2 linked regions of the Rattus norvegicus genome follow. Each later gene encodes a partner of the first gene's protein in a complex. Links are inferred from orthologs where the notes say so. Each region holds a gene or a part of one and is shown on either strand. Other genes may lie near its edges. The genes, in order: Dnajb1 and Nudc.

Region 1 (4,514 bases):
ATGGTGGGCCACTGTCACGTGACAGCCAGAACCTAAGGACAGCAGAGGGGAAGAGTCCAGTTGCAGGCCTGCCTCACACCCTCGGGCAGGAGCTGGGGTGCAAAGGGTGGGTCCATTCCAGGAGGGCTGCTGTTCCCACCGCCTGCCTATCGCTCGAAAAACCACTGTAGTCTAGTGCGCGACTTTGAAAGATTGTAATATATTCTGTGGAAAACATTCGGCAGAGCAAAAGCCCTCCCTGGGCCCTCCCGCAGTATGCAACCAGTGGAACGGTCTGGAAATCTGCAGCTCTGGAAAGGTCCCTGGCTCAGTCCTTGAGGAATGCAGGCAGCTATATGGGAAGAACCTGCTCCAGGATGGTTCTGGATGAGATGGGGATCCTATCAGGGAAGATGACTTCAAATTCGATAACAAGGTCTCCACGTTTCTCAGGTGTTTTGGGGAGGGGGAGGCCTTCTCCAGGAACTTTCCTCCGCATGCCAGGCCTGATGACATCTTTGAATACAACAGGAATGGTCCTGCCGTCCAGAGTAGGAACATTCACAGTGCAACCACAGAGAGCCTAGGGAAGCAAAAAGACAGTGTCAGGTAGCAGCTGGCTTAGGAAGCTTGACCCCTCCAGACCAGAACCATCCAGAGAAGGGTCAGGTCCACCAGACCAGGCCTTCCGAGACCCCACTACAAAGCTCCCCATGCTGTCAGAAACAGAGTGCCACCCCCACAGCCTGTTATCCTCAGTACCCATCTCTCTTCATGATTCCTCCTCCCCACACCCAGCACCTTACCTCCCGAAGGCTAATCCTGGCTGGATAAATGACATCAGAACCATCTCTCTTGAAGATATTGTGTGGCTTGTCCTTTAAAACAAAGACGATGTCAGCTGGAATGTTGTTCGAGGTCTGGTCCCCTTCCTTGGGAAAGGTGATTTTGGTCCCTTCTTTCCAGCCCCTCTTCACTTCGATGGTCAGGATCTTATCTTCATTTCGAATGCTCTTTCCATCAGGGTTCAGCCGCTTGTGGGAGATTTTCATCTTCTTGGTACAGCCGCTGTAGATCTCTTCAAGGGAGACCCGAAGGTCGTGGGTGACTGGGGGATCTTGCTTCTTCCGGGTGGGCTCTTGAGTAGGGCGGGAACGTCCAAAGTTCATATTGGTGAAGCCGCCCATACCCATCGGAAAGCTAGAGAACGGGTCATCGATGTCCATGCCTTCTTCCCCGTTGCGCTGCCCAAAAAAGGTATCAAAGGGATTCCTGCCACCGAAGAACTCAGCAAACATAGCATGAGGGTCTCCATGGAATGTGTAGCTGAAAGAGGTACCATTAGCACCACCACTGCTCCCGCCACTGGGGCCACCACCCTTCAGGCCTGGAAAACAAAACGGCAACTCAGGGTTACTGCAGGAGAGTCAGGACCCTTCATCCCAACACTTCTACACACAGATAAAACACAAAGCCCTTGAAACAAAGATCTTGGAACCCTAGCTCTCAAGACAGGAGCAGACTGATCTCTGCAAGTTCCAGAAAGCCAGAGCTCTAACATGAGATGCTGGAGAAATGGCTCAGAGCACTTGCAAAGGAACTATGTTCAATTTCCAACACCCACAAAGCAGCAGACCATGGTCTAACTCTAGTTCCGGGAACTTCAATGCCTTCTCTAGAAGCGTGTGATGATGCACGGAGGTACACACTCAAATAAATTAAAAAATAAAAGTTCCAGCAACAGTGAGGTCCTGTCTCAAGTAAATGGTAACATCTTGTTCCCTTGCATGTATTACTGTCAATTCTAAGTAGCACAAGAACTTGCTGTGTAGTCTAGATTAGCCTCAAGGCAATCTTTCTGACTCAGACACCCCCGGGGTGGGGGGGATTGTCACAACGTCTGCTTCCTTTGGAAACAGCTTACCCTGTAGCTCAGATTTGCAGCAAATTCACAACGTTCCTAATTCAGCCTCCCAAGTGGAGGTGTGAGCCCCAGTACACTGCTCTCAACAAGTTTTGGTCTTAGTAAAAAAGCAGCAGAAACTATAGTGTGTGTGTGGGAGGGGGTGAGGGGAAGGAGTTACGTGTATATTTTTAAAAGCTTTTCCACTTAAGTCAAGGACGAATCTCAAGTCTTTAACTCCCAATGGCAACAGGAACAGGAAACAAACCACCCCGTTTAACTTCGTGACAACAATTCAGTAGAAAGGTCTCTAGATGTTGGTGCCACCAGGTTGACGTGACTGCTCCATCCTCCCAGCTATGCTGTAACACCTTACAAAGAAGTTCCTACGCACTAGTACCAGAAAGGTTCAACTTTGGGTAAGCACCGAGCTTGCGGCTGGGAAAGGGAATCGACACTTGGGCAATTTTCATTCCCATCGCGACCGCCGCCCCCCGCCCCCGTCTGCAGCATTCCGGCGCTGTGCAGGCGGCCGGCCGGGAGGGGCTGCGGCAGACGTGCTAGAAGCTTCTGTGCTAGCGGCGCACCCAGAGCTCCTCCTCCCGTCTGAGGCCGCCGATTAGAGAGAAGGTGGAGGAGGCAGCGCCGCCGCGGGATCCCCGGACCATCTGTCCCCCGCCGAAGCCTCAGAGAGGCCCCGAGTGCCTCGGTTTCCTCGCCTGTCAAACGGCGGGTCACCCGGGCCGCGCGCACGCGTACCTTCCTCTCCATAGCGGTCGAAAATCTCGCGCTTGCGCGGGTCGCTGAGCACGTCGTAGGCCTCGGCGATCTCCTTGAACTTCTCCTCGGCGCCGGGCTCCTTGTTCTTGTCCGGGTGGTAGCGCAGCGCCTGGCGGCGGTAGGCCCGCTTGATCTCGTCGTCGGACGCGCCGCGGGCCAGGCCCAGCGTCTGGTAGTAGTCCTTGCCCATGGCCACCGCCGCCCAGCTGTCGCCGCCTCCGGCTCCGCTGCTGCCCCGTCCCGGACTCTATATACCCGTCCGGCGGAAGCTTCCAGATCCCGCCAGCCCTCCAGAACCTTCCGCCCCTCCCGATGCGTCGCCCCACACCGGCCAATCGCTGCAGCCCGCTGCGTGACGCAGCTCATCTGGGGTGGGACCCGGCGGCCAACGGCTTTCCGCGCGGGGCCACGCCCCTTCTCTCTCTCCCCTGGTCAACGCCTTCCTCGGACGCGCGCGCCGGCTGCCGAGGTCCCGCCTTCGCGGCGGATCCAGCCAATCGCGACCCGCTCTCCCTGATGACGCGAGGGGGCGGGCTACAGAGGCGGCCCTCCCGGATGGCCGCACCCTTTCCCCAGGTGATCGCCGCTGGGCGGTTCTGATGCGTGACTTATGGTAGCTACCTGATGTGTAACTCCAAGTCTTCCTGCTTCAACCCAGGGATAAAAATACGCACCCCGCCCTCTTCTGCCCGTAACCCTTTGTCTTCCCGTACAGGCCGTTACTGTAAAGCGAGGTGAGGCTGGTCTGCCTTGGGATTGCCCCAGTCGGGCTGGGTTATTTTACTTCCTACTAATTCCTATTGGAATTAGCTGGTTTCTTGGCGTTCTTGGTGTCACTTCCTTTGCAGAGAGTGAAATCTTTTTAAGATCCACTAGGTGCTTCGTAAATATTTCCAAATACTTTGACATAGATGTTTTTTGCTTTGGCTTCGTAAGCCTGGGATGATACGGTCAAGGACACTGCTGAGTGAGGAAGAGGACAGAGCTTCTGATATTGGAAGCTGGAGGAGTCAGTGGTGGTTCTTGCAGGGAATTGCCTGGAAGACAGTGCATGAAAGGCTGACAGTAATCCTAGCACTTTCTGGCTGTGTGACTTTGTGCTGGTAAAGTAGCCATTCTGGTCTCAGTGTGCTCATCTGTATAATGGGAATGGTCGCTGTATTATGGTTAAGTTGACATTATCCAGCATTTGTGAAAGTGCCGTAGACAGACAAGGTACAAAGGAGGTGTTCTTGAAAGGGATGATTAATCATCTTGTTTAGTGGACAACTGTTGACACTCACTTTCTGGCAGCCCTGCAGCATGAGAGTCTGATAACCCTTGCCTTAGGCACCCCTGAGAAAAACAACCTTAGCCATCCCATGATGGTATAGCTGTGTGTGTTTTGATTTCCCTGACCGTACTGACCCTGTGAAAGCTGAACCAGTTGAGTCCTCCTTCCCCCAAGATGGATTTGGGGCTAGGAAACCCATTAGCTTATCAGAGAGGGTGTCCCGAACCAGTCACTTGGAGAGAACGTGTCTTTAAAGATACCGAGATATGAAGAGCCTATCCTGGCACAGTGACTTGTTCCTGTAATCCCCGTGCCAGGATGCTGCTATAGGAGGAACTCCCATGTGAGGCCAGCCTGACTTCAAAATGGGTGAATAGAAATCAAAAGTATATAATGAACAGAAGAGGGGCCCAAGGGAGAGCACAGGGCATGGGAGTTCTTTACAGTGTGTTTTTTTTTTTTTTTTCTTTTTTTCAGAGCTGGGGACAGAACGCAGGGCCTTGCGCTTGCTAGGCAAGAGCTCTACCACTGAGCTAAATCCCCAACCCCTACAGTGTGGTTTTAATGGAGAAGTGCAGG
Region 2 (4,185 bases), on another chromosome or scaffold:
CCTGACCCTTTGGCAGAAGCAGATGCTCCAAGGGCCAGATCTAAGCAGAAGTTACCTCCTCAACCCTTTACCGTGTGGCTCTACCAGACTATACCCGCCTTCCCAAGTCCCACTCCCAGGCAGTGTCCCAGGCTTTATTACTCCCCTGGCTTTGTTCACACAGTCCAGTCTGAACACTTAATTCTGGGACTGGCTCCTGATGTCTAATGGGAATCTGTAGCCAGAGAGACTCAGCTTTGCTCAGAACCACACGTGAGGTAAGGTGACTCACTCACATGAGCCTGGCAATCTATGTTCTATCCTCACAACCCATGCAAGCATGGAGAGAATTGACCCAGAAAGCTGTCCTCTGAACTTCATACATACATACATACAGCACACACACACACACACACACACAGCACTTGTGCACATACAATGTAAATTAAAACTTAAATCCCTTGTCATAGTCCTCCCTAAAGTCATAGGAGCAACAGACCCAGAGAGTCGAGACCCTGCCCTAGCAGGTAGACTGCCGCACAGCAGACCAGGCTAGAAGCCAAAATCCCAGCTCCTAGCAGCAGCCAGAGGGTCTACACAGGGGACATAGGTGGAACAGAGTAAATAGTTTTAATGTGTAACAGGACAAATAGCAAGGACAAGACCCCCAAGACCCAGCCCTTCTCCAGTGAATCCCTGGAGCTCACATGCCTGGGAAGTCCCACGCCTGCCCAGCCCTAAGGCTCCTGGGTCTCAGGAAAGGAAGTTGAGTGGCTACGGGCTCAACTGCAAGAGTTCAGGAAGGTGAACAGGAGCTAGTTGAATTTGGCCTTGGAGAAATCCATCTCTGGGTGCTGATCCATGAACCTAGGAGGCAGAAGTAGAAAAGTGATCTCAGCTGTCCACCTCAGCCCCGACACTGGGCCTGACCTCCTCAGAACCCTGAAACACCCGGAGCCAAGCCTGCATCAGAGCCCTTAGGCCAGAAGGGCAGGTGCCAGCAGGTGGCACCAATCCTGTTACCTACTGCTTCCTACTCTTAAGGTAGCCTTGTCCTAGAGGTGACAGTACCAAATGGTCAGGTGAACAAGCCAAGAGAGAACCATGAACTTGGCTAGTTTATGTTGCAAGTGGGCGGGGCAGTCCGTGTTCCATTTAGTGGCACACTGCTGTCACACAGGTCTAAGCCCCCAGCAATCCTCCCCACGCCCCAGTCGCTTACTTCTTCAGGATTTCCTGTTTCTTCTGCTCATCAGAGGTGGGCAAGCCCATGGACTTCTGCCTCTGGTCATACATCATTTTTTCCACCATGCTGCGAGTCTCACTGTCCAGGTCTGAGAGCTAGGGACAGGCAGGAAGAAGAGTGAGTCCAGCACTGGACTGCCTCTCCTGGAGCTCCACAGAGAAAACCTCCCCTAGCAAACCGGGACTCACCTTGGAGTTCTCAGGGTTAATCTTCTTGGTATTGATTTCGGGGTCACTGGTAACCAAGCGGTTCCACCACTCCATCTTATTGATCTGAGGAGGAAGAGGGGGAGGAAACCCATGGGGAAGGAGAACCCACTCCATGGCCTAGGAATTACAGCTCAGCCCTTTTAGAGATAAGCTCTCTCCCATCCACACTGTGTGTGTGCTAGGCCCAGGACAGGAGAGCCAGACCTCTGCCCGCCCAGCAGAGGGCACAAGACACAGAGGCCAACAGTTACAAATCAATCACCTGGAGCAAGAAAACACATAGGGTGGCCACTTAGCCGGCAGGAGAGAAGCTAGAGTAACAACTGGACCTTAAGGCATTGCAAGTAAACAAAAAGAAAAAAGAGCAAAGAACAAGAAAGGAGATTCTGGCTGGGAGAAAAGTCAAGTACCAGGGCAGAGACCATTGAGCTGCAGCCAAAAAGCACCATCTTCTGTGCCAGGGGAAGTGTCCATGGGCCCTCGGCTCTATCCAGACACCACCTTTATTCACCCAGTAAATGTCCCACACCTCTAGGAAGGAGAGTGGGAGACATGTGGGTTCTCTGGGGGCAGATTTCTCTACACTCTATTCCCCGTTCTCTCTCCAGTCCTTAGAACAGGCCTGGCAGAGCAGAGCACGGGTTCAGGCACATGTGAACGGAGCCCATGTGCAAGCTGATGGAGAGGAACAAGACCACTCGACCCCAACCCTGCCCTCCCGCCCCAAGCGAGGCACACAGGGAAACCGTAGCTGTTTCCTGACTATAAAAGCAGAGTGAGGAGTAAGCCCACAAGGCCTGAGCAGTCAGGGGGTGTCAGCACCAGCTAGGAAGGGCCGCTTGTACCTTCTCCAGATGCACTGTCACCACCTTGCCATCCTCGATGAGCCACGAGCTCTCCTCCACCTTTACTTCATTGTAGAGCTCTCCATCAATCACTGGTGCCTGTCCTTTGAGGCCCACCCGGAGGTGCCGCCGCTGGATGTCCACCACCACATCCTTTCCCTTCAGCCGGAAGCTGACTCGGAAGGGCACTGCCAGATCCAGCTCTGACAGGGTCTGGGTCCAGCGGTAGTTGGGCAGGTCAGCCCCATTGCCTAGGTTGGGTTTCAGCTTTCCTTTGTCCTTCTCGTCTTCCTCGTCTTCCTCTTCCTCAGCATCCTGCTCAGTCATGGAAGCTTAATGACTTACCTGACAGACCAGACTTCCACCAGGCCAGGCCCACAACTGCCGCTAGACACAACAGCCACAAAAAAGCAAGGTAGGCATGGCCGACCTACACACCCTGGGCCACTGGGAACCAAAGGCAAAAACAGGTCCTGATCTCTGCCAGAAGGGCTCAAACTATATCAAGTGACACAGGCTGTGGCTGAGCCAGTGCCCCTCAGCCCACCCTTCATGGTATGCTCTGACTCGGGAGCAGTTTAAGAAATATTACAAGTATATGAGTATTTTGCACTATGTCATACCTAGTTCAGAAGACCCCCTAGCACTGGAGTTAAGAGGCCATCATGAGGGGTTGGGGATTTAGCTCAGTGGTAGAGCGCTTCCCTAGGAAGCGCAAGGCCCTGGGTTCGGTCCCCAGCTCCAAAAAAAAGAACCAAAAAAAAAAAAAAAAGAGGCCATCGTGAGCCACCACTAAGCTATCTTTTCAGTCCACCTGAGGGTTTTCTTGTCCCAGGATTAAGGCCAGTAGAGTTATCAAAAAGTATTACTATTGTTGCTGCTATTACTAAAAATAATCTAGTAGTAGTAATAGTAGTAGTAGTAGTAGTAGTAGTAGTAGTAGTAGTAGTTACTACTGACAGTCTCTCTACATAGCCCTGGCCATTCTAGATCTCAGAGATCCACCTGCCTCTGCCTCTGCCTCCTGAATGCCAAGACTAAAGGCGTGTCACTAAGCCTGGGTTAAAAGAAAATAGTTTTCATTTCTATTTGAGATAGGTTCTCACTATATAGCACAAATCTGCATCAACCTTTTTGCCTCAGCCCACCAAGTGCTGAGATTATCATCACAGCACCACTCTGGCTCTGCTCTGCTTTTTTCCCTGTCTTTGGGGTGGGGCTTTGCAGCATGGCAAGGCCCCAAGGCTGGGGAGAGGGGAGGGTGAGGAGGGAATTCTGCTGAAGGGAGGAGACCACTGCCCAGGCCTGCTACTCCACCTTACCTGCTTCCCTGGAGAGTCAAGACTGCCGTTCTTAAGCTGCACCTCATGGTTCTCTGCATCCTTTTTCTGTGGCAAAGGGCACAGAGTTGGATCAAAACCCTACTTCCCAGGGCCACTGCAGTTGGGGGCAGGGTGGAAGTAGAGGAGGACGCCCGGCCTCACCTGGTCAATCTCCAGCTGCAGTCTCTCTGCCTCCTCATCAGTCAGTTCCTTGATCTGTGGCCCGGGAGTCTCTGCCTTGGCCTCCTTGGCCAGCCTGGCTGCCCGCTCTGCCTTCTCCCGACGCTCTGTCTCCTGCCGAGCTCGCTTCTCTCTCCTGGCCTTCTGTGCCAGCTGGTTGTGGTGGTTAAAAGTCTGTGTGATGAGCTAAGGAGGACAAGAAAGCATCAGAGTAGGGACAGTGTCTTAAAGCCTAGGGACAGAACATTACCTACCCCTGCATTACAACTGCAGCCAGGCACAACAGCTGCACACTGGTGAGGACCTGCTCTTAGCGGCTTCTGTTACAAGCAGAACTCAGGCTCAGCCCCTCCAGGAAGCCTTCCCTAAGTACCCAGGTCCATACTTCCTGTTCTTCCCACGAC

What was found.
Region 2: the proteins of Dnajb1 (region 1) and Nudc are in contact, whole or in part, in a crystal structure (PDB 7NDX), measured with the Homo sapiens proteins. The link is inferred for Rattus norvegicus from reciprocal best matches to the Homo sapiens genes DNAJB1 and NUDC. Residues at the interface, in NP_006136.1 of Homo sapiens: His166, Lys181, Lys182, Met183, Lys184, Ile185, Ser186, Asp201, Lys202, Ile203, Ile235, Phe237; in NP_006591.1 of Homo sapiens: Pro102, Gln103, Ile104, Lys105, Glu106, Leu107, Ala112, Leu115, Gln116, Ile119.

Annotation. Positions count from the first base shown.
Region 1 is NC_086037.1:41,428,190-41,432,703, forward strand, and holds the start of Dnajb1 (dnaJ homolog subfamily B member 1), read right to left. Parts: upstream 2,953-4,514; 5' UTR 2,853-2,952; coding exon 2,642-2,852; coding exon of another isoform or gene 2,470-2,641; intron 1,367-2,469; coding exon 786-1,366; intron 563-785; coding exon 332-562; 3' UTR 1-331. UniProt on the Homo sapiens protein: Interacts with HSP70 and can stimulate its ATPase activity. Stimulates the association between HSC70 and HIP. Negatively regulates heat shock-induced HSF1 transcriptional activity during the attenuation and recovery phase period of the heat shock response.
Region 2 is NC_086023.1:151,041,288-151,045,472, forward strand, and holds the end of Nudc (nuclear migration protein nudC), read right to left. Parts: intron 3,968-4,185; coding exon 3,764-3,967; intron 3,668-3,763; coding exon 3,602-3,667; intron 2,595-3,601; coding exon 2,280-2,594; intron 1,498-2,279; coding exon 1,414-1,497; intron 1,321-1,413; coding exon 1,202-1,320; intron 847-1,201; coding exon 795-846; 3' UTR 591-794; downstream 1-590. UniProt on the Homo sapiens protein: Plays a role in neurogenesis and neuronal migration. Necessary for correct formation of mitotic spindles and chromosome separation during mitosis. Necessary for cytokinesis and cell proliferation.